Notamacropus eugenii: one gene and its partners. The protein of the gene in region 3 interacts with the protein of the main gene of each other region in a pairwise test. Links are inferred from orthologs where the notes say so. Each region holds a gene or a part of one and is shown on either strand. Other genes may lie near its edges.

What was found. The genes of interacting proteins can lie anywhere in the genome.
Region 1: the proteins of NTAQ1 (region 3) and SFN interact in binary tests that used the Homo sapiens proteins (3 or more experiments, as listed by UniProt). The two-hybrid records come from large-scale screens. The link is inferred for Notamacropus eugenii from reciprocal best matches to the Homo sapiens genes NTAQ1 and SFN.
Region 2: the proteins of NTAQ1 (region 3) and TSC22D1 interact in binary tests that used the Homo sapiens proteins (3 or more experiments, as listed by UniProt). The two-hybrid records come from large-scale screens. The link is inferred for Notamacropus eugenii from reciprocal best matches to the Homo sapiens genes NTAQ1 and TSC22D1.

The regions. Positions count from the first base shown.
Region 1 is NC_092876.1:67,974,263-67,981,225, reverse strand, and holds SFN (14-3-3 protein sigma), read right to left. Parts: upstream 2,002-6,963; 5' UTR 1,922-2,001; coding exon 1,157-1,921; 3' UTR 553-1,156; downstream 1-552. UniProt on the Homo sapiens protein: Adapter protein implicated in the regulation of a large spectrum of both general and specialized signaling pathways. Binds to a large number of partners, usually by recognition of a phosphoserine or phosphothreonine motif.
Region 2 is NC_092877.1:295,069,260-295,076,895, forward strand, and holds the start of TSC22D1 (TSC22 domain family protein 1), read right to left. Parts: upstream 3,053-7,636; 5' UTR 2,926-3,052; intron 2,514-2,925; 5' UTR 2,267-2,513; coding exon 1-2,266. UniProt on the Homo sapiens protein: Transcriptional repressor. Acts on the C-type natriuretic peptide (CNP) promoter. Acts to promote CASP3-mediated apoptosis.
Region 3 is NC_092875.1:120,994,199-121,001,257, forward strand, and holds the start of NTAQ1 (protein N-terminal glutamine amidohydrolase), read right to left. Parts: upstream 3,154-7,059; 5' UTR 2,985-3,153; intron 2,113-2,984; 5' UTR 1,980-2,112; intron 822-1,979; exon of another isoform or gene 747-821; 5' UTR 656-746; coding exon 573-655; intron 473-572; exon of another isoform or gene 42-472; intron 1-41. UniProt on the Homo sapiens protein: Mediates the side-chain deamidation of N-terminal glutamine residues to glutamate, an important step in N-end rule pathway of protein degradation.

The DNA of each region.
Region 1 (6,963 bases), on a different chromosome or scaffold from region 3:
CACCTGAATGGTCTCACTTCTTGCCTCTCTCTCTCCTCCTCCCTTCAGATCTGTGGCTTCTCATCTCACCTGTCCTGGAATCTGACTTCACTCTCATTTCTTCTCAACACTGCCCTAGCCTCCCCTCTCCTCCACCCCGAGATCTGGCTTTCTCAGGTCCAACTTTCCTCCCACTCCAGCACCAGGGCTGTTTCTTACGGATCCTTATCTTAGGGCTCGAGGAAGAGGAAGGAGTCCTCTGAAATCCTCTGTTCCGATGTGAACTCTCCTGGGGACTGAGGGTTAGTCCCTGACCTTGGATTCTGTCACTAGAAAAAAACCCTGCCCCACCCCACCCCTCAACCCCACCTAACTCTGAGGTAATCTACCCCAAATCCCTTCCGGCTGCTCCTTGGGATGGGCCAGCTCCCCTGGGGGTGAGGGCCAGGTAATGCTGGCCTCTAGAACCAGAAAGAAGACAGGTCTCAGAACCAACACCTTCCCCCGCCCCGCCCCATCAAGTGAGCCTTCCCACCTGCCCCTCCGACGCAGACGGCAAAAAGACAAAAGGAGTGTCAGGGAAGCTTTCTTTATTGAGAAGGAACTTTGTCACACTCAGACAGACATGCTCTCTGACAGTCGCACACACACACCAGCGCGCGAGCACACGCTGTCACCCAAACACATCCACACACTCTTCCTTCCTCCAACACACTCACACAACCTCTGGGCCCCACCAGTCCAGTCCCTCCCAAGCCCCTAAGGGCCTGGCACTTCCCAATCCCTCAGAACCACAGGGAGCAGGGGCAGGAGATGACAGGGAGAGCGCCGGGGGGGCGATCCCCGGGGCCAGCTCAGAGAGCCAGAGATCTTGGGACGATCGTGGGGGCTCTTGCCACCACCGTCCCTGATAGCCTGGGCCTAGACGGAGAGACTCCCGGAGCTCCCTGCCCAGCTGCCCTCGTTTTCGCGTCTGAGTCGCTCCAGAGCCGGGGCGCGCAGCGGGGTAGGGTTGGGGGGCTAAGGGGCTGGGGAGGGGAGGAGGAGGAGGCAGGGCGCAGGGAGGGAGAGGGATCCGGGGGCCCGCCCCACACACAAGTCCTCTCTCCCGAGGGGGGCCAGGCCGGGGCGGGGGACAGGGAACGGAAGGGGCCGTCGGGGCGCCGGGGAGCGGGGCTCAGCTCTGGGGCTGCTCCTCGGGGGGCGGTGCCTCGCCGCCCTCCTCCCCGGCGCTGTCCGCCGTCCAGAGGGTCAGGTTGTCTCGCAGCAGCTGCATGATGAGGGTGCTGTCCTTGTAGGAGTCCTCGCTCAGGGTGTGCAGTTCGGTCATGGCCTCGTCGAAGGTGGTCTTGGCCAGAGAGATGGCCTCCTCGGGGCTGCTGGCGATCTCGTAGTGGAAGACGGAAAAGTTCAGCGCCAGCCCCAGGCGGATGGGGTTGGTGGGCAGCATGTCCTTCTTGCTGATGTCCATGGCCTCCTGGTAGGCGGCGCGGGCCGAGTCGATGGTGCTCTTCTTGTCGTCGCCCGTGCCCACCTCGGCCAGGTAGCGGAAATAGTCGCCCTTCATCTTCAGGTAGAAGACGCGGCTCTCGGCGTCGCCCGCGTCCTTGATGAGGTGCGAGTCGAGCAGGCCGAGCACGATGCCGCAGACGGCGCGCAGCTCGCCCTCCACCTTCTCCCGGTACTCGCGCACCTCGGGCTCGCGCTCCTTGGCCTCGGCGCTGTCCTCCTCGGCCCCCTTCTGCTCGATGCTGGACAGCACCCTCCAGGCCGCCCGCAGGCCGCCCACCACGTTCTTGTAGGCCACCGACAGCAGGTTGCGCTCCTCGCACGACAGCTCGTCGCCTTTCTCCACGGCGCCCTTCATGAACTCGGCCATGTCCTCGTAGCGCTCGGCCTGCTCCGCCAGCTTGGCCTTCTGGATCAGTCTGCCTCTCTCCATGGCTCGGGCTGGGGCTGGGTCGGGGCTGCGCTGAATCCCGGGGCACCTGGGCTCTGCCTCTGCTCAGCCTCTCCCTCTCAGCCCGGCTTTTTGGCAGGGGTGGGGAGGGGCAGGGCTGGGCGGGAGGCGGGGCTGGGCCTCTGGCTCCTGCCTCCCCCAGTCCTGGGCCCTTTTCTTTCTTTCTTTCTTTTTTTTCCTGGCTGCTCCTTAAAGGTAAAGAGGCCAGGACAGGAGGCGCATTAGTCATCATGGGGATACTCAACCGGAGAAAGACAGGCGTGGGCCCCACCTAAGGCAGCTGCCTCCCGGGGCCTTCTGTCCCACAGGCTCTGCAATGCTCAGGGGCCTGCTCTGGGTCCCCAGGTTGATCTCCCAGTTACCGCGGACAATAATGGGCTTCTTCATCACGACCCAGGGAGTCTGGGAGTGGGAGGCTTAGAAAGTAGCTTGAGGTTTTCCTGAAATCGCTAAACCCCATTAGTTTTTAGGAAATAGGAATGGTCAGTCCCTTATGGGTCTGTACGGTCAGATGTGAATGGTGGGATGGGGGAGTGTGTGGATGGTTCAGTAACAGGGTGCACTCACTCTGGGGTGTGTGTAACAGAGACTGTGTCTGCGGGACAAAGCACCCCTTTAATAAAAGCTGGTCTTTTGACTTTAAACACAGAATATCTGAATGCCCTCCAACAAACTCTGCCCTTACTCAGCCCCTAGCCAGGGTCTAGAAGACACTGGAGGAAGCACTCCACCTGTGGCACAGGTACCATGTGGGCCCAGCCTGGCAGCCTCCTGCAATATGCCAGGAGTTGTATTGGATATCCCTGGGGAATGGGCAGTGCTGGTTCCTACTGATCCTCCTGGGAGGGCCCCAGGCATCTCTCTGCCTTAGGCATACTCCTATCTGAGAAGCCCTCCAGAGCTAAGCAAGGACCCCACAGCCCTGCTCCCTAAATCTCCTCCCCTCCCCCCCAGATTGTTGAGGTGGCATCTCAATGTGCCACTTAAAGATGAGTTTAACAAGCGAGGACGCTGGAGGCCCATCCTTTGTAATTAGCCACCCAGTTGGGCCCAATACCATCCCCATTACACTGCAATTTTCCCTTTCAACTGAGCAACCAGCTCCCACTAGCTGGAGGACTTTCCCCAGGGACATTGCTGTGGCTGGGCTCCAAGCTTAGGTGTCTGGCAGTACCCTCCCAAGCCATAGAGTATCAGGGAGGCTCATGTGGGCGCCCTGGAGAGGGTGGGGTCCCCAACTTCGTCAGCTGCCCCACTTTCCTCTCTGACTCACCTTTGACCTAGTGCCAGGCTCCACTGATTTGTCTGAGGCTGGCAAGTAGGACACCTGGGCTCTAGGCCCAGTTTAGTTCCTGGGAGGGGGGCGGTATTGACTCCCAGGGGAGGCAGTGGTGACAGCATGGATAGCCAAGGTCTTGTTATATGAGGACTCTTATGGGGATTTTATTCAGCCACTTCTAATTTATTTCACAGATCTTTTTCTGCCCCTGTCCTCTATTCATGGCCCCCTGCTGGGCAGGGGGGCAAGTAGCAGTACCCCTTCTCTGTGCCCTCAGGCCACAGTGGATCACACCTCCTTTCCAGTCCGGGCTCTGACTCCACCTCAACGGAGAGCCACACCCGAGGGAGTTGGCACATTGCCTACGGGGCGGTGGTGGCTATTGAACACCAAGGGGCTCCTGCCCATATAGCCCCACCCCACAGCTCTACAAAGTGCAGGTCTAGTGTTCAGGGGTGAGGCTTCCTGCTTTGGGAATCTGTCCGGGATTCTCTCATCCAGTTCCTCTATGGTCCCTGTTCGAGGGCTACCAAGCAGCGCCCTACCTCCCCCGGCTTCTCTTAGTACCCACCTACATGGGTGCAAATGACCTGTTCTTGGGGAAGCCACTGCCCAAGTCTGTTTGATGTCCCATTAGGAGTCATCCTTCCCTGCTCATGACAGCAGCCTCTTTGCTAAGGAGGAAAGACAGAGTCACACCTAGCCAGAGGGAGCAGACTCTTGGTGAATCAGGAGGGATTTTGGTTAGAAGTGAGAAAGACCTTGCTCACCGGAGGAATCCACGTGGGTGGAGGTGAAGTTCCTCCAGTCATCGTCGTCAAGGCATCCTTGGTGTAGGGGTTGAGATTCCAAGCCAGGCTAGCTCTACTGGGAAGGAAAAGGGGATAAGGTTTGTCCCTAGTTTTCTTTCTGAGATTTTGGGGTAGGTGACAGACCACTGGGCTTGTAGTCGGAGGACCTGGGCTTGGATTTCAGCGCTGCTGCTGACCTTGTTACACTGAACAAGACCTTCTTCTCTACAGACCTCAGCTTCCTCAGCTATAAAATTAAGTAGCTCTAAATACCTGGGTCCCCCACCTCATCTCCACCCCTTCTAGCTCTGACATCCTGTGTTCTTTTTTAAAATTAGTTTATTTTTAGTTTTCAATATTAATTTCCTCAAGATTTTGAGTTCCAAATTTTCTCCCCATCTCTCTCCCCTCCACCCACCCCAAGACAGTGTGCATTCTGGTTACCCCTTTCCCCAGTCTGCCCTTTCCTCTTTCGCCCCCTCCTATCCCTTTTCCCTTTACTGCTTGTAGGCCACAATAGATTTCTACACCCTATTGCCTGTATATCTTATTTCCCAGTTACCGTAAACAGAATTTTTTAGCATTTGTTTTTAAAACCTTGTCTCCCTTCTTCCCTACCCACATACCCTCTTGAGAAGGCAAGCAATTCAACCTAGGTTATACATGTGTAGTCATGACATCCTGTATTCTAAGGTGCCCCCAGCTCTTTCTAAGAGACTTCTCAGCTCTGACATTCTGTGTTCTAAGGGCCCTCCCAGTCCTGACATCCTATGTTCTAAGGGCCCTCCTAGCTGTAGAGCTGATCCTGGGATCAGTTCTGTCTTGGTACCACTCTTCCCTCTACCTGGCCTAAATCGGTTCCAGACCTCTCCAGCACCTTCCTGGAGTGCTTGTCACTCATTCTCAGCTTCTCCATCTCCGGATGCAGCAGTGCTGGAGGAGGGCAGGACTGGCCCTAGGGATTCAGAAACCTGGCTTCTCACTGTACCTTCCCAGATCAGTTATCCTATGACAGCCCAGCCCATGGAAGGGAATTCATGCTGGATGGTGAAGCCTTCCCTCCGAGAATCTCCCAGCTTCCCCTGGACATGTAGGTCACCCCCTCAGCCTGTGAGCTCCTCTGAAGTGGGGTCTAGGGTTGTATGGTTTGTTTCTCTGCCTTTCTTCCAATACTCAGCATGTAGTACAGAGCCCAGCACGTAGCAGCGCTCCATAAATGTCTGTTGACCGTCAGTCATGAGACTGCTTCTGGTCCAGACTGTCACTGCCTACCTGGATGCCTAAGTCACTTCCCTTCTCTGGGGCAAGGGACATTTGCAAAATGAAAGAATTTAATTTGATACCTCTAAGGCTCCTCTCATCATTAATATTGTCTTACAGCCTTCTCAATATATGCTTGACCTCTCCAAACTGCCACCCCTCCTCCCAACCCCTATTGAACATGGCCTTCTCTCATTTGACAGAGACAGGTTAGAACAGTGGATAGAGTACTGTCTCTGGAGTTAGGAATTGCTGGGGTCAAAGTATTCCTCAGACAGTTACTAGCTGTGTGACCTTCAACAAGTCCCCACTTCTGAATCTCAGTTTCCTTATCTGTAAAACAAAAGGGCTGGACTAGATGGCCTCCCTGCTCTAGTTCTATGATCCGATATCACTTCAGCTCTGAGACTCAGTTTCCCCATCTATAAAATGCAGCAGTATCTTTATGATAGCTCCTTACTCTCATTCTTCAAGTTCCATCCTTGGGGCCCAAAGGAGAAAGGTTGAGTGTAAAACATTTTGCATGCATTAAAAGGCAGTTATTAACTCTGGACAAGGTAAGATATCCTATATTCCCTAGCAGCTAGGGGCCTTGGGCAGCCCCTTAACTTTTCTCAGGCTCCTCAGTTTGCCTGGATTCTGTACCTCCCTGACTTATGACTCAGTTCCTGTCTTGGGCACCTCCCTGTGCCTCCAGGCCTCCATTTATCACTTGAGGAGGCAGCAGGTCCAGGCCTGGCTGTTCAGGGAGGTCTGGACGGCCTCTCCCAGTACAGCTCCATGAGAGCACCCTGTTCAGTGCCCTGTGTCAGCAGAAACGGCTGCTTTCCCCATCCTGCCTTCCCTCCCCTGCGCAGAGCATCCCCTTTAGGAAGGCAGGGCCCCAGCCTTCAGTGCCACATGGCTACCCAATAATGTTTTACCTGATAATAACAGGCTTTGCTTTGGCACTCAAGAGTTATTCTGGGGAAGGCAGGTGGCCATTGGCTGTTCAGGCCCTCTCCAAACCAGCCCTGAGAGGAAAGGACGGGATTTAGGTCAGAAACCAAAAGGGAATCCTCAACCAGAAAGGCCAAACTAACTCATATTTCTACTCATCCTTCTCTGACACCACTTTATGTCATGGAGGTGACTCTGGGCCTGGGAAGGTCTGTTTGTGGCAAGTGCTAGCAGGCCCTACCAAGCTGGAAAGATTTCCAGCAGAAGCCTGGGGAAAGATGGCATGTGCTTTCTGAGAAGTATGCAGAGGCTCATCAGCACAGGACAAGGCTCAGCACCAGCACAAGGCATTCTGGGGCCAGAGCAAGTCATGACAGTCTATGTATGATAGCGTACTGATGTGCGGAGGAGCTGTGGTCTATGGTGGTGGGAAGGGTGACTGGGTAACCTTGAAATAGAAATATATATATATACACATAAATTGAACAATATATATAATACTATAGAAATATAAATGTATTCTACACACATACACATGCATATGTACAGGTAGTGTGTATGTGTTGCATGCATGCATGCATAACACACACATGTACACAGCCTTGTAAAAGTTACAAAGGGCTTTTCTCCTAATCTGGTGTGGTACATGACACAGTCAGGAGGACCTAGGTTCATATCCTGCCTCTGAAGCTTAGTAAGAGCATGACTCCAGCAAGGCAAGTCATTTCCATGAGGTTAACTGTGGAATTTACCCC
Region 2 (7,636 bases), on a different chromosome or scaffold from region 3:
CTCCTTGAGCCTGGGGCTGTACAGTTATCAAGCTGCTTTGAGGTGCAACGACCAGCTGTGGAGGAAGGTTTGAAGCACTGGCTTGAATTCCCTGAATGATCCCAGGCTGAGAAGGCGGAGGTGTCACCTGGGTGACGGTGGCCGGCTGCTGCAGCACAGCTGGGATGTTCACTTGCTGACCAACATTCACAACTTGACCACTAGCAGCTACAGGAGGCATTGCTGGCTGGCCATGTCCAACAGCCCCTGCAGGCTGTGCCTGGGCTGTGGTGGATTGCACTGAAGGCTGAATGCTCTGTGAATGAGCAACAGGCATCGCTGAGGCTGCTGCCACTCCTGCAGAATTTGGTGGGACAGGGGGCACTGGTGTCTGGAGAACTTGCTGATGCTGAACATACTCTGGCATAGTTGCAGCGATGGGATTTTGATTTACTGGCTGGATGTGGCCCGGAGCCACCTGTGTGGCCACAGTTTGTTGCTGCTGTCCGTATTGTAACTGCGGCGGTGCTACAACTGGCAAAGGGGTCTGAGAATAGGACGACTGGGACGGAGCCAAGCTGGAAACGGGAGGCTGTTGGCCTAACGATGGTGCTACACCAACCAGATTCACTGGGGGCGACTGAATGCCAGCCGCAGCACTTCTACTGGCCTGCAGAGGAGGCTGACTTCCCTGCTTTTGCGAAGCATAGGTCAGCTCTTGAGAATGCAACTGCACCGGGGCAATCTGAGACTGAGAAATACTCTGTGGTAGACTAGTTGCTGATACACCCTGTGCACCAGGACCACTACTGAAATCCACGGGCTGTGGGGCCACACCTGGGAGGGCTGGCTGCTGCTGGCCCACAACGGGGGCCCCCATCTCTCCACTCCCCACACTCTCTGTGTAGTGACTCAATGTGCTCACATTACTGCTAACTGAACTCCCACTAGTGCTCTCCCTTTCAGAGGTCGCTTCAACTGGGTTTTGTTTTACAGTCTCCACCACTTTGTTTACCGCTACTCCTTCTGTAACTGCTATGGGATTTTCTTTTTCATAGAATTCTGTGCAAGTCCATCTCCCCTTTTTAAAGGGTTCAGAACTAGAATCTAATTTCACAACTCTAAACCTTGATGTGCCAGCCGCTGGTTGTTGCTGCTGAGCTGAAACAGATCCCGCAGCCATTCCTGCAGCTGGGGTAGGAACATTGTTAACAGAAGAATTAGTACCATTGCCCATGCCACTTAGGATATTCACATTAACACTGGTGCTAGCTCCGGGCACAGCATTTACACTAGCAGTACTTGGGACGTTACTGGAAGGTACGTTAACATTACCAGGCATGCTGTTCGTCATGTTAGGATTAACACTACCCATTGCAGTAACGTTAACATTATTTATTGTGTTAGTGCCCGTAACAGAATTTATACCTAGACTGCCAGGAGCATTCGTATTGCGGACATTAGTCATTAGAGATGCAGGTGTGCCAGTGGATGATACAGCAGAAGGTGGTGCAGCTGGTAAAACACTGTCTGAACTTCCAGCTGTGGAGAGTTTTCTAGACACCGGACTTGGGGGTGGCCCTCCAGGAACAGCCGTGCTGACACCAGCATGGGATGGATGGTGGTGCCCATGGTGAAGGTGGTGCCCGTGGTGGTGGTGGTGATGATGGAGATGGTGTGGATGAACACTGCCATTGATCACGACATTCTGGGGTGGATGGTGAGGTAAATGGTGCTGAGGAAGGTGGGGCTGGTTGGGAGAGACCGCCCCAGGGGTCTCGGCCTCCTGGAAGTTATTCAAAGTCTCCTCGGAGGAGCTCCGCTCCGGCTCCCCCAAGTCAGTGGCCCTGGAAAGGGACACGTCCAGGATCTCGGAGGAGGACAGGTCCTCCGTGTGGGACTCGTCCAGGTCGTCGTAGCTCTCCGTGTCCTCGGCGATGCTGTTGTTGGAGCTGATGCTGGCCGAGATCTGGGCCGGCGTCACGCTCGTGATCTGGAAGCCGCTCTTCTTCTTCATCTGCGCCCCGCCGGGCGCGGCGGGGAGCTGCGGGGCCTGCGGGAGGAGGTGCAGGCTCTGCGGGGGCGGCGGCGGCGCCGGCCCCGGCCCAGCGGCCGCCGCCCCGGGCAGCGGCGCGGGAGGCGCGTAGTCCTCGGCCGAGGGGCCCGCGGGGCCGCCGCCGCTGCTGCTGCCCCTCCGAGGGACCGCGGCGGCCGGGTGCGCCATCTTCCGAGCCCCGAGGTCTGCGGCGGCGGCGGCGGCGGCCGTGGCCTCGGGCGGCTGGTGCATTGTGTCTGCACCGCACGGGGAGCTTTGTGTTCACAGCGCAGGGGCCGGAGGCACCGTCCCCGCTGCGCCGCCGGGGCCTTCTGCGCTCAGCAGGCGGAGGACGGCGGGGGGGACAAGGCAAGAATGGGGGGCACTACCGGTCCTCGGCCATTCACTTTTCCTTCTGGTCCTCTCCACCCCCTTTTATACAGTCCGCTTCACTAGGGGAGGAGGGGGTGGGGGGAGGTAGAGGAAGGAGGCAGGCAGACTGAAGAAGAGGAGAGGGGGGAGAGAGAGAAATGCCCACGTTATCCGGCCAACTTGGAAACCACCGCTGCCCCCGCCGCCCCTACCCCCGCCGCCGCCCCCGCCCCCTCCGCCACCCCCGCCGCGGTGCCGCGGCGGCGGCCACCCCTCCACCCGCCCCAACCCCAAAGGGCTGCCCCGGGAAAGGCACGCCCGGAGGCCAGGCCGGAGCAGCTAAAAGCCCGGTGCCTCCCCCTCCCCCCGCCCCCTCCCCCACCGCTAGGCTGGAAGCTGCTCCGGGGGCGCCGCCGCCGCGGCGGCTCAGCCGGGAACCCAGCGGAGCCGGGGCCGCTGGGCCGGCCGGGGAGGGCCGAGGGGGCGGCGGCGGCTGCAGCTGGGGGGAGGCCGGTAAGGGGGGAGGGAGAGATACGTACGATCCTCGCACCCAGCCGGGGGGCGGCGGCGGCGGCGGCAGGAGCAGCGGCGGCCGGGCGGGCGGGGGCGGGGGGAGCGCAGGGACCGCTCCATCACTGGCAGCCGCGGAGCCCCAACATCTTCCTCCCTCCGGGCCAGCAGCCCGGCGGCTCCGGTCCTCGGCCCTCGGGGAGGAGGCGGGCGGGCAGGCAGGCAGCAGCCAGGGGGCGTGAGGCTTCTCTCCGCGGCGGCGGCTTCGCCGGGCCGGGACTACCCACGGACGGACGGGCGCCGCTGAATGGAGCAGGAGGTGGGGGCGGCCAGGGGAGGGGCAGGGAGCGGGATGGGGGCAGGGTGTCGGGTGCGCCCGGGGGTTGGGGAGGGGGCGGCTGGGGGGGGGCTGGTTACGAGAGCTCTCCTTAGGCTGCCCCGGCTACGCCGTCTTCCCCACTGTCTCTCACGGCATTGGAAGAGGAGGGACGGGCTCCCGAGCCCGGGCGCAGGAGGAGGAGGAGCGTCCGGCGGTAAGAAGAGGAGGAGGAGGAGGAGGCAGCGGCGGCCGGGGGAGGGGGCCGAGGAAGATGGCGTCTGCGCAGGCGCTCTGGCGCCGCAGACATAAAGCCTCGCCTGGCGAGGAGAAGGGGCGGGGCCGGACGAGGCGGGAGGGGGCGGGGAGGGTAGAGGAGAGACGGTGTTCGGGGACTCGAAGACCCGCCGAGGCGGCAGCCGAGCTCGGGTGCTCTTGACGGAAACTACCGAAGGCCAGAGTCGGATGCCCAGGCGCCGGCGCGGTGGGGGCGGGGACTTGGAGATCGGGGAGCGAATCCGGGGCGGACAGCGTGATGCTGCCAGTATGGGGTGGGGTGGGGCATGAAGTGAGAGGGGGGCGCGGGCGCGAGCGGCCGAGGTGTGTCCTCGCTCCCTTCGCGCTTGGGGCGTGTGTGCGCGTGCACGCGCCCCGGCGAGGGGGGAGGGGGGCCCTCTGCAGTGCAGGGGGGAGGGGAGGGGCGGGGCGGGGCGGGCCGCCGGGCCATGTGCCTGGAGCGGGCCCGTGGCAGAATGGGGTTCTTCTCTGCAGCGCGGCGCAGCGGGCGCATCACGAGTTCTGCTTCCCAGGAGTCCCCAAGCCACCACATGAGTCAGGCTTTTCTCCCTCCTCTGCCACCTTCCCCGTGTGGAGGATGCCCACGCCTGCATGGCCCCCCCTCTACGCACACACGCGCGCGCGCGCACTCGGATCCTCCTTCACGCCCCTGGCGTGACGGGCGACACCTGGCCCCCGAGCTCCCGCCAAGGGGTCCCCTTTGTGTGGGCCAGAGCGCAGCTGCCATGCGGTCCCTTCTGCGGGCGGGCAGCGTGCGGAGGGAGGCGCATCGACACCTCCGCAGGTGGAGCCCCGTCTCCTGCAGTGCGGGGCCAGGACGACCGCGATGAGGACTGTTACTCGTCTGGTCTCTACAACGGGCGTTACACTGTAACTCCACACTTAACTGTAACTTAACCCTGTTACCCACATTCAGTGCGGTTAGGTTGGCCGCTCTCCTCAGCGTCAGACCAGCAAACCCTCCCGCGGTTACCAGACGAATTCAGAGGTGTCCTAGGATCGAGCGATCCCACCGGACAGGAGGAGGGCAGCGGGGCCAGGAAGCGCTTCCTGCCCACGTTAAGAACCCCAGTGTAGACGAGAACACGTGAGGGATGCCTTGAGGAATGACTGAGGGTCTCGTCAGAAAAATCCCAGATTTCGCCCGTCTGGGAAGCCCTTGCCTCGGTGGTCTGGGCATTTGGAAACGAAGCAGCTTCCCAGAAAGCCCCAGCCCAGGTGGGAATGTCAGGGACCCAAACCAAAGCCTGCCTCCCCAGACTTCCTCGTTTTAGAGCCGGTCCTCTCCCTTCCCTGGCCCAGAAAGGGCAGGACTGGGTGACCTCTGAGAGGAGATATTTGTTTAGTAACTGAGGCTAAAAGCATGTGGAGGGGCGGTGGGAGCCCGAAGAACGTGGAAGGTAGACTTAGGACCGAGACATCCGGGTAGAACAGTTAAGCTTTCTAGACCTCCGTTCAGTTTCATACGAGGTAACAATGTAACTCCTTTGCAGGAGCTGCATTTTCGAAGTGTAAGTTGAAATGCACCGCCCCATGAGCTCAGTTGTCTTTTGAGGTGCTTATTCCTGACTTTGGACTGATCTTTGTCAGCCTATTTTTTTCTGATTCTTTCTGCCCCACCCCATAGCTTGAAGGGCTGACCAAATGGAAATATCACATGAACAAAGATTGTATTTTTGTATTCACTATCCATGTCTCTGGGTGTATTTTTACTTAAAAAAAAAAAAGCTCATCCTTTTTTTTTTCCCTCAAAGCCTTTGCAAATGATACTCTTAGTTAATGGCCTTGCTATCAATTTTTGAAATGCAAATTTCCATCATGTTTTTTCAACAGTTTTCAAATGGGAAATGGAAACTATCTTAACTGATGGAAACTCCTTGTGGAATGCAGATAGGCCAAATACAGTTTCTCCAGGGCTTGAGAGAAAATATTCTTGCAGTCACAAAACATGATTTAGAGCTGTTTTATATGTTATTCAAAACAGAACAGTTTCACATCACCTGGGGCCCTCTTAACATCGTCCTAATATTTGGTCTAAGACAAAAAAGGTCATATAAGACTAAATTAAATTGTAACCCAAAGTTCATAGTGGAAAAGAGCTATTTAAGTATCCAAGAGAGAGCATCTACTCCTCTGACACTAATAAAACACTAATAAACAAATATACTAGTAAAAAGTGGGAGGATATTACAAGTGCCATTTCTTTAAAAATTGGTTTTCAAACTTCACTGCATGGAAGTCTTGGGTTCTATGAAGCAAACAGAGCTTTCCAAAAAGTAGAGTAGCATATAAGTAGGTAGGCTGAATCTAAATGCAAGGTTTCATGACCACTTATATGGTGTTATATATAACATTTAGTTATGGATAGGAATGAATGACTTCTGAGGACACTTTCAATTTTGCATTGCTGTGATTCTGATTCAGTCGGTTCTTGTTCTTGTTAAATTCTTGTTAAAATATGGTCTCTAAGCCAGGGGTCCCAGAACTCAAGGTCTCAGGACTTAAGCAAAAAGATCTACAGCCTCAAAAATACAAATACCCTATGTTTTCCAGCTGTCATTATAGTGTCTATGAATAATAACCCTTAAAAAGGAAAGGAACAACCAGAAAACAAAATGCTTAAATCTTGAACTTAACCTCTCAACACATACCTAAGCTTTTTTTTGCAAATATGTCCATGTTTTTATGTTAAAAGTTGTTTCCCTAGGAAAATGTTAAAATTTCACTGTTTTTATCACGAGTGTCTAAATTTGTTCTGTAGCTTTAATTTCTAGTCGTATATCAAAGTATTTAATGTAATCAAAAAATTAGAACACATTATTGAATCTAAACATTGGGAGTCTTTTTTTTTTTTTTTGGTTATGCCTTTTAAAGGACTGTTTATGTTAGAAGTCTTTCTAGTTCCAGAGCTTGGTACACAATAGCTATTGAATCACCTTTCTATCATATAAAAGATTAATCTTTATTAGACCAGGTAGAGTAATTGTTACCATTATTTTATAGATGAAGAAAGGGAAACCGAGAAGGGAATCATATGACTTCATCTAATATCACGTGACTCTCCAGGTCTTGTGTCTCCCCAGTTCATGCTCTTTCTATACTGCCTTTATGATCAATTGTAGCTGTAGTTTTTGTCTTATCACAAGACTACTCAAGGAACAAAATTTCCTGGGTGTCATAAAGTGTGGGTCCACTTTGACAAAGAAAATAAGACATTGTATAATATTTAACTAATTGTATATACATATGCTAAGAGCCAAATAGATATTTTTTTTGCACCTAGAATGTCTGCAAGGATATCCATTTATCCAACAAAAAGTTACTACTTTGTTCCAATAATATATATTGAGAACATATATTCATTAGCAATATTCATGCCAAAGTGTTTGAGAACTTGTTGCTACAACAATCCTGCATTACACCTGAATATTCTAAGGAAAAGTTATCATTTGAATACTATTTTGAGTGTTTCATATGGAAAATACTACAATAAATGATAGTTTCTTGTCTTTAGAAAGGACTTGTATTTCTAAAACAGGGAAAGAAAGCAATTTTTAAAATACTTGAGTTGAGACTATGCAACAAAAAAAAAGACTGCTTTTGCAATGAACAGAACTGAATTATATTATTTTGACTAATAAGGAATACATCAAATAGGAAATGAACCCATGTTTGCATGATGGAATAGAAATAGCTTAAGATTTAAAGTTAGGAGACTCAGGTTCCAATCCTAGCTCTTAACCAGCTCTACCGTCATGAACAAGTCTTTTAGCCTCCTAAAGTCTTAATATTTTCTGGAAAATGGAAAAATACTTTCCCTTCCTCCCTCAAAAAGCTACTCTGAAGAAACGCACTGTGTAAAATCTAAATTATTATGTGTTGATGTGAACAATATTAGCCATTCTTTTGTTCTACTTGCTTACTTTATGACTATGCAAATGTGAGTGACTATGTCACAATATCATAGAACTCTAAATATAGGAACATAGATTTAACTTAAAGAGACCTTAAAGGTCAATGAGTCCAAACCTCTATTTTATAGACAAGAACCTGAGGCCAAAAGAAGTTAAATAATTTGTCCAAGTTCACATAGCTAGTAAATTTCCAAGTTGAAAGCATACTCTGTA
Region 3 (7,059 bases):
CAGGATCAGCTCCTAGGGTGGCCCTCATTTCCCATACTCACCTGATTACAAAGGTATCATTTATTCTAAGTATTCTCGGCGCCTCGCCGCCCGCAAGTTATATTTACGATAAGGCCCTGCCATGAAACAGCCCGTCCCTCCCAGCTCCATCTCTCTACCCGGAAAGAGTTACTGTCGTCGCCAGCAGGGAGAACCACCAGAGCTCTGGAGCCGTTAGCCCTGGATTCAAATCCTGACTCCGTCCTGGTTAGCAGCCACCTCGGCCGCTGGGATCCGAGTCCCCCTCCCGTTACTGAATGAAGGGAAGGCGAGCGCTCCCAGCCTCAGTTTCCCCATCTGTAAGACGAAAGGGTGGTAGGGAGCGGGGGCTGGCCTGGATGAGCTTCGGCTCCGGGGCCTAGAAGCCTCTCCGCAGAACCCGAAGCCACGCCCGGGCCGAGCGCGGAGAAGCTCGGGGGTGCCCGGGGCCAGGGGCGGGGCCAGGGCGGCGCAGGGCCGGGCCCAGGGAAGGCGCCTACGACAGACCTAGGCCGGTCCGGGGCGGGGGCGGGGGCGGGGCTCGGGCCCCTTACCAGTAGCAGCTGCTGTAGGTGCAGGCGTCCCGGGGCGGGCTGGCTGGCTGGTAGCCTCGGGAAACGGATCCCTCTCCTTCCATGGCGGGCGGGCGGGCGGGCAAGCCCGGGCCGAATACGCCCGGCTGTCCCTTCGCCCTCCTTCAACAGGCCGAGGAAGCGCGGTGCGAAAGCCTGGGAAAGGGGACAGCCTAATAAGAGGCGGACGCTGAGGCGGAGGCCGCGGAGGGGCGGGGCCGCGGAGCCGAGGGGGCGGGGCCCGAGGGGCGGGTCTGAGGAGGTCTTAGCGGAAGCGTGGGGGGCGGGGCTTGGAAGGCCTGAGCGGGGGGGCAGGTTGTTGCTTGGGGGCGGGAACGGTGAGGAAGGGGCGGGGTCTCGTTAGGGGCGGAGTTAGAGGGGCGGGGCAGAGATGTCTTGACTGGACTTTTTTTTTTACTGAACTTTTGACTCTGCTGAGGAAGGGATTTGTTTCTTAGAAAAATAGTCCCTGGCTTTGTGGCCTATAGAGCTCTAGGCTTATGCTCCTCTACATAGGGCTTTTCTTGCGTTTGCACCTCATCCCCCCAATCCCTTCCTGGCCTCCCTGGGTTTCCTTCAAGTTTCAGCTAAAAATCACTCCTGCTGCAGAAGGCCTTTCCCAGGCCTCCCTGTGGAGCTTTCCCTCTGGGACTACCCTACCTTTATCCTGAATATGCCTTGTACATAGTTGTTTGCATGTGTCACTCATTTCAGTCATGTCTGACTTTTCTTGACCCCCATTCGGAGTTTTCTTGACAAAGATATTGGAGTGGTCTGCCACTTTACAGAGGAGGAAACTGAGGCAAACAGGGTTAAGTGATTTGCCCAAAGTCACACAACCAATAAATGTCTGAGGCCTTCCTGACTGCTCTGTTTCCTGCACCACCAGTTGCCCCTCTTTGCATGTCGTCTCTCTCTAGATCATGAGTTCCTTGAGATCAGGGATTGTCTTTTGACTTTCTTTACATCCCTATCCTTTAGCACCATGCCTACCACAAAGTGCTAATTGACTAACTTAAAATGCCATCACAATGAATGAAACAATCCCTACTTACAAGATTACATTCTAATAATTTCTATTATTAATTAGTAATTCTAACAATAGTGGAAGGAGCATCAGCTCTGACACAATTATGACCCTCCTTACTGGGAAATCCAACGACAAGCAACTTGCATTGGTAGAGGGAATTTCCTCACCTGACAATTTCCCTACTCCAATGATATTACAGGTGCAGTTCCAGCCCCCATCACAAATTCTATCATCATTCTCGTTTTCCTCTTTTGCACATGTTTCTGCTTGTCAGTGTCTTCACCCAAAATGGAACACCCCAAACTAAACCTATACTCCATACATCTAAGCCTAGGGCAGAGTTCAGTGGGACTACTCACTTCTTTGACCTGGAGACTTCCTCTGTCAATGCAACCTGAGATTCTGGCTGCCAGGTTAGAGAGTCAGATCATACTGAATGTGCTTGTGAAGTCCTTATCAAATGAAATGTAGTCCAGCCAGGCCTCTTCACTTCTAAACTTACAGAGTTGAAAGGACAATTATCCTTTTCCCCTGGCTTTACCTTCTTCCATAGACTAAACATCTTCACTTCCTTCAAACCATATGGTATGTTTCATCTTTAGTCTAGTCTCCCTTTGGCACTGTTTTGTCTTTATATCCCCAACACTTAGTTCCTTGGACAACGTAGACACTTTTAAAATGCTTAAGGAATCAAAAAGAAGTAATAAAATGAGGAAAGAGGAAAAATGTTGTACCTTGAATATGGGGGCCACGGATAAAGAACAAAACAACAGAGAAACAGAAGAATGAGAATAGAGGGAAACATTTTAAAACACCTTTCTATCTGAACTAGAGAAAGGGCATGAGGAGTTTTGAAAAGATTCTATCAATAAAAGTAGAATCCCAGAATCTTGAGGTTATAGGAAGAGATGTGAGGGTATGGAGAGTCTATGATCATTCTAAGAGAATGATACTAGTGATCTGACTGAAAAAGCAGACTTAACAAGCAACAGGATGTGGAGGAGGGAAAAGCACACTTACCAGTTATAACCATGCACATAAACAGATTGAACTACAGAGTAGGGGGAAAATTTTTGCAATTAAACGTTTCTGCTGAAAGTCTGACATGTAAAATCTATAGGGACTGGCATAGATTTATAAGGTTAGGAGAAATTCCTCCTGATAGATAAGTGGTCAAGGGCTGTGAACAGGCCTTTTCCTTTTATTTTACTTTATTGGTATCTTTAATTTTTATATCACCTTCATTACCAAATATATTCCTGCTATCTTTCCTCCTCTCCCTTGAGTCATTCCCTATAACAGTTTTTTAAAAGATGAATAAAAAGAGAGAACTTAGGGAAAAAAAGCAATTTAGAAAAACTCACCAGCACATCAATCAAGTCTGAGAGTATATGCAACTGAATAGGCATTTTTCAAAAGAAACATAAGTTCACACTGAAATGGACAGACCGAGACAAGCACAGGCAAGAGTTAATTGAGAATTTGGGAGTGTCTTAGCCAGTGGCTGTCCACAAAGGTGGCAGCCCTGAACAAAGGTGTGTGTGCCTTTTAAGCATCTTAGCACCTCCCGGTACAGCCTTATGGTTCCAGTAGCTCACATTTTTCACAGAACAGTTTTGACAGGGGTTCCTAGGTACTGCTAGGCAAGGGGGCACAACAGAGAGGGGGGCCCAAGCAGCTGCTAGGCAAAGGGGTACAACAGAGATGGGGGCCCAGGCAGCTGCTAGGCAAAGGGGTACAACAGAGAGGGGGGCCCAGGCAGCTGCTAGGCAAAGGGGTACAACAGAGAGGGGGGCCCAGGCAGCTGCTAGGCAAAGGGGTACAACAGAAAGTGTAGCCACTAATAGTAAGTGGCTACTAGGCCCAACCCTGCCTAGAAACTCAACAGACATTTCTCAACCCAGGGGCTCTAGGGGGGGAGGGGAAATAATGTCCACTTCAACACAAGTAATTTGAATGAATAATAAAAATACAAATTAGCTTAATTCTTAAGTGTCACTTTAAAAGACATCAAATTCACATAAATAGTAATTTTTTTTTAAATCAGTTGCTGGCAAGACTTTGGAAAATTGACAATCTAAAAATTCACTGCTAATGGAGCTATGAATTTACTAAGAATTTTGGAAAGAAATATAGAATTATACAATAAAAGTAACAAAAAATTTTGTACTCTTTAATCCAACAAACCCACTATTAGGCTTTTAACCTGGGGTAGTAATTGGTAGGAAAAGACCAATCTGCAAAAATATTCGTACCAGAACTATTTGTAATAGCTAAAAAGCTGGACACAAGCTTTGTGATTTAATAAATTGTGGCATGTGGATGTATGTGGATTCCGTAGCCATAAGGAATTTGCCAGTTTGAAGAAATGGTGAAATATTCAAACTGAATCTATACAAAATAAAGCAAAATCAAAGGAAAATAAACATTCTAACTTCAATGAAATAAACAAAGACATTAAAGAGCAACAAATCTCAGATAAATATGAAAGTAAATATTGGTATTATTGCCATATCAAAATTGAAGCACACAGATGCTGGGGGCCCTCCCATCTTTTGGGGGGGGGGAGGTGCTAAGTCAGTACATAAGCTACTTTTCTTTCTTTTTTCTATCTAAACCAATGATTTCATCAATGTGCTAAACTGTTAGTGTGGAAACTCCTTCCACATATTCAGACTGGCCACTCCTCTACAAAAATGTATGTTTATAATCTTAGAAAATTTCCTGTTTCGCTGAGTATAAGTGACTTACTGATGGTCACTGAAATGGACAGATGGTCACATAGCTAGTATGTGTCATAGAGAGAGCTTGAACCCTGAGATTCCTGTCTAGAAAACTGACCCTTACTCTCTCCCTTGGTAATGTTATTAACTCCCATGATTTCATTTATCAACTTGATTCAGATGGCTCCTGAAACCATAATACCTCTAACTATGACCTCTTTCAAGATCACAGACTCACTTTTCCAAATGCCTATAGGATATTCCTCACCTGAATGCCTCCCTAGCACTTCAAACTCACCTCCTCCTTGTCTATTCATCAAAACTTGCTCTTTCTTTGGGTTTTACCAGTTCTGTCAGTAGCAGCATGCATCTCCCCTTTCTTTTTTAAAATGGCAAACAAGTGCATGGCTGCTTGTCCAATCTTGTACTTTTTGGTATTATTTTTCTTAATATTTGGGGGGACTGGTTTGGGGGGTTTTCTTAAATTATATGAGGAGTTTGTTGAAATTTTCTTAAAACAAAATGTTTTGATAAAGTAACGTGGCTCAAAGTCATTAGTGTAAGTCTTTCTTCGTTGGTGGAGATTAATTATTCAATACTCCTTACCTATATCACGGAAAGCATTGATGAGAACTTATGAGAAAAGAGATACTAGTCTTTAGGCTGCTAACTTTAAGAAAAAAGATAGTTCCACACTCCATTCAGATTGCTAAAGGGACAAAAAAACTGGGAAAAAGTCAATATGATCAAAGTGCTGGTACTTACAAGCTACCCTTTTCTAAAAAAAAAAAAAAACAATGTGGATAATAATAACTGTACTACCCACCTTATCTGGCTGTTGTAAAGAAAGTGCTATGAAAACTAGAAAGTGGGAACCAAGGGAAATGAGAGACAATGTGACTTACTGGATAGAGATTTAATAGAGGAGTCAGAAAGACCTGGGTCTAAGATCTGTCTCTGACATATACCAGCAATGTGACCATGGATGGGAGAGTCACTTTACCTTGGAAGGCCTGTGTCCACACACTTTAGCCTATAAGTTACAAAATTATTCCAATCTGCATCAGTGAGTTCTAGTTGCCAAGAATTATCAAAGATGTGAAATTACAGTTTTGGATCCCTCCAAAAAAAGTGGGAGATTAAGTCAGATTGATAAGAATTAGAGCCTCTAAGGAAAAACTTGAATTCTAGGAAATGAGAAGTTTGACTTGATATTGTGTGGGATGGCTCAGGTCCCTACTTAAATCAGTTACTCAGAGGCCTCTCAAAGTGATGACAGAAAGTTTATTTACTAGATTCTCGAGAATCGGGACAATCCTACACCAGTTCATCTGGAGTAGGAAAGACAAAGACAAAGAAAAGGCAGTGATTTATATAGACCCTAACGCAAGTCCCTCCTCCCCCACTGACCATTATCCTCATTAGCTGAGAATATGATCTTACATTCTAGACACAAAATCTAACCAATCCCTTTTGAAATGAAGACATCGAGGAATTATGTAAGTTTTATCCAATCATTGAGACCCTAATATACTACACAGTTTTATATCCTTATATGGAACTATTCTATTCTAAAAATATTGTAACCTTGAGCCTCTAGGTCTTACCTCACCCCTGGGAGAAGAATTACAATCTGAGAAGTCTTCACTAAACCTATCCCACTCAATATTATAGTAAGGTATTGATATTCTTGAAGGGTAAATGTTAAAATGCCTAATCTGGAGTGATGACTAGGCATTGAAATGGAAGAGCATATGGGGAAACCAAGCAGAGGGTTAGTGTAGTACTGAGAATACAGTGAAGAAAACTGCTATTTTGCCACTAATTGTAATCAACAAGGAAAATCTGAATAGTGAAATAGAAACCTAGAAAACTTTGGCAAAAAGTGAAAATCTCTTAGCATTCATGGTAATTTAAGGAAAGGAATATTGGGTATAAAAAAATCATCCATTCTCTGTTTGAGTCTGTTATCTCTCATGCTTCACTGACTTCTTCCTATGTAGATACAAATATATCTAGGTCTCCTCATTCCCAAAAGAAGCCCTTTCCTTGACCCTACTCCCCCAAGCAAGTAGGAATTTCTTGAAGTAGTCTTGAAGAACTCAATTCTTCCAATTGCACTTCTTTATTACCCACTCTCTTCTCAATCCCTGTCAACAAGGCTTCTATTCCTTCTCTACTAAAACTATTTTAAGCACACCAGTGACATCAAATCATCTTTACCCCAGTTCTCATGTTCTTTGACCTCACTCTTTCATTTGGCATTACCCCTCCAACCATATCTTCTTTTTCTCCTCCTTTGCTGACTCCTTAGCCTCTCTTGGATCTCAAAAGATTTTATCAGTCCTTTGTTCTTTACTTTGTCCCTTAAAAATGTCATTAGCTCCCATGATTTCAATTATCACCTTAATACAGATAGTCTCTGAAACCATAAGGCCTCCAGCTTTGACCTCTCTCAAGGTCTCAGATTCGCTTTTCCCCATTCCGGCAGGATATTCCTCATCTGAATGCCTCCCTAGTACTTCAAACTCACCTCCTCCAAAGCTGAGTTTATCTATTCATCAAAACTTGCTTTTTCTTTGGGTTTCACCAGTTCTGTCAGTAGCACCACTATTCACCTATTGTCCTGTATTCAAAACCTTGGTAGTATCTTTGATTATTCCCTCTCTCTCACCTTTCATATCCAATTAGTCGCAAAATCCCAGTGATTCTACTT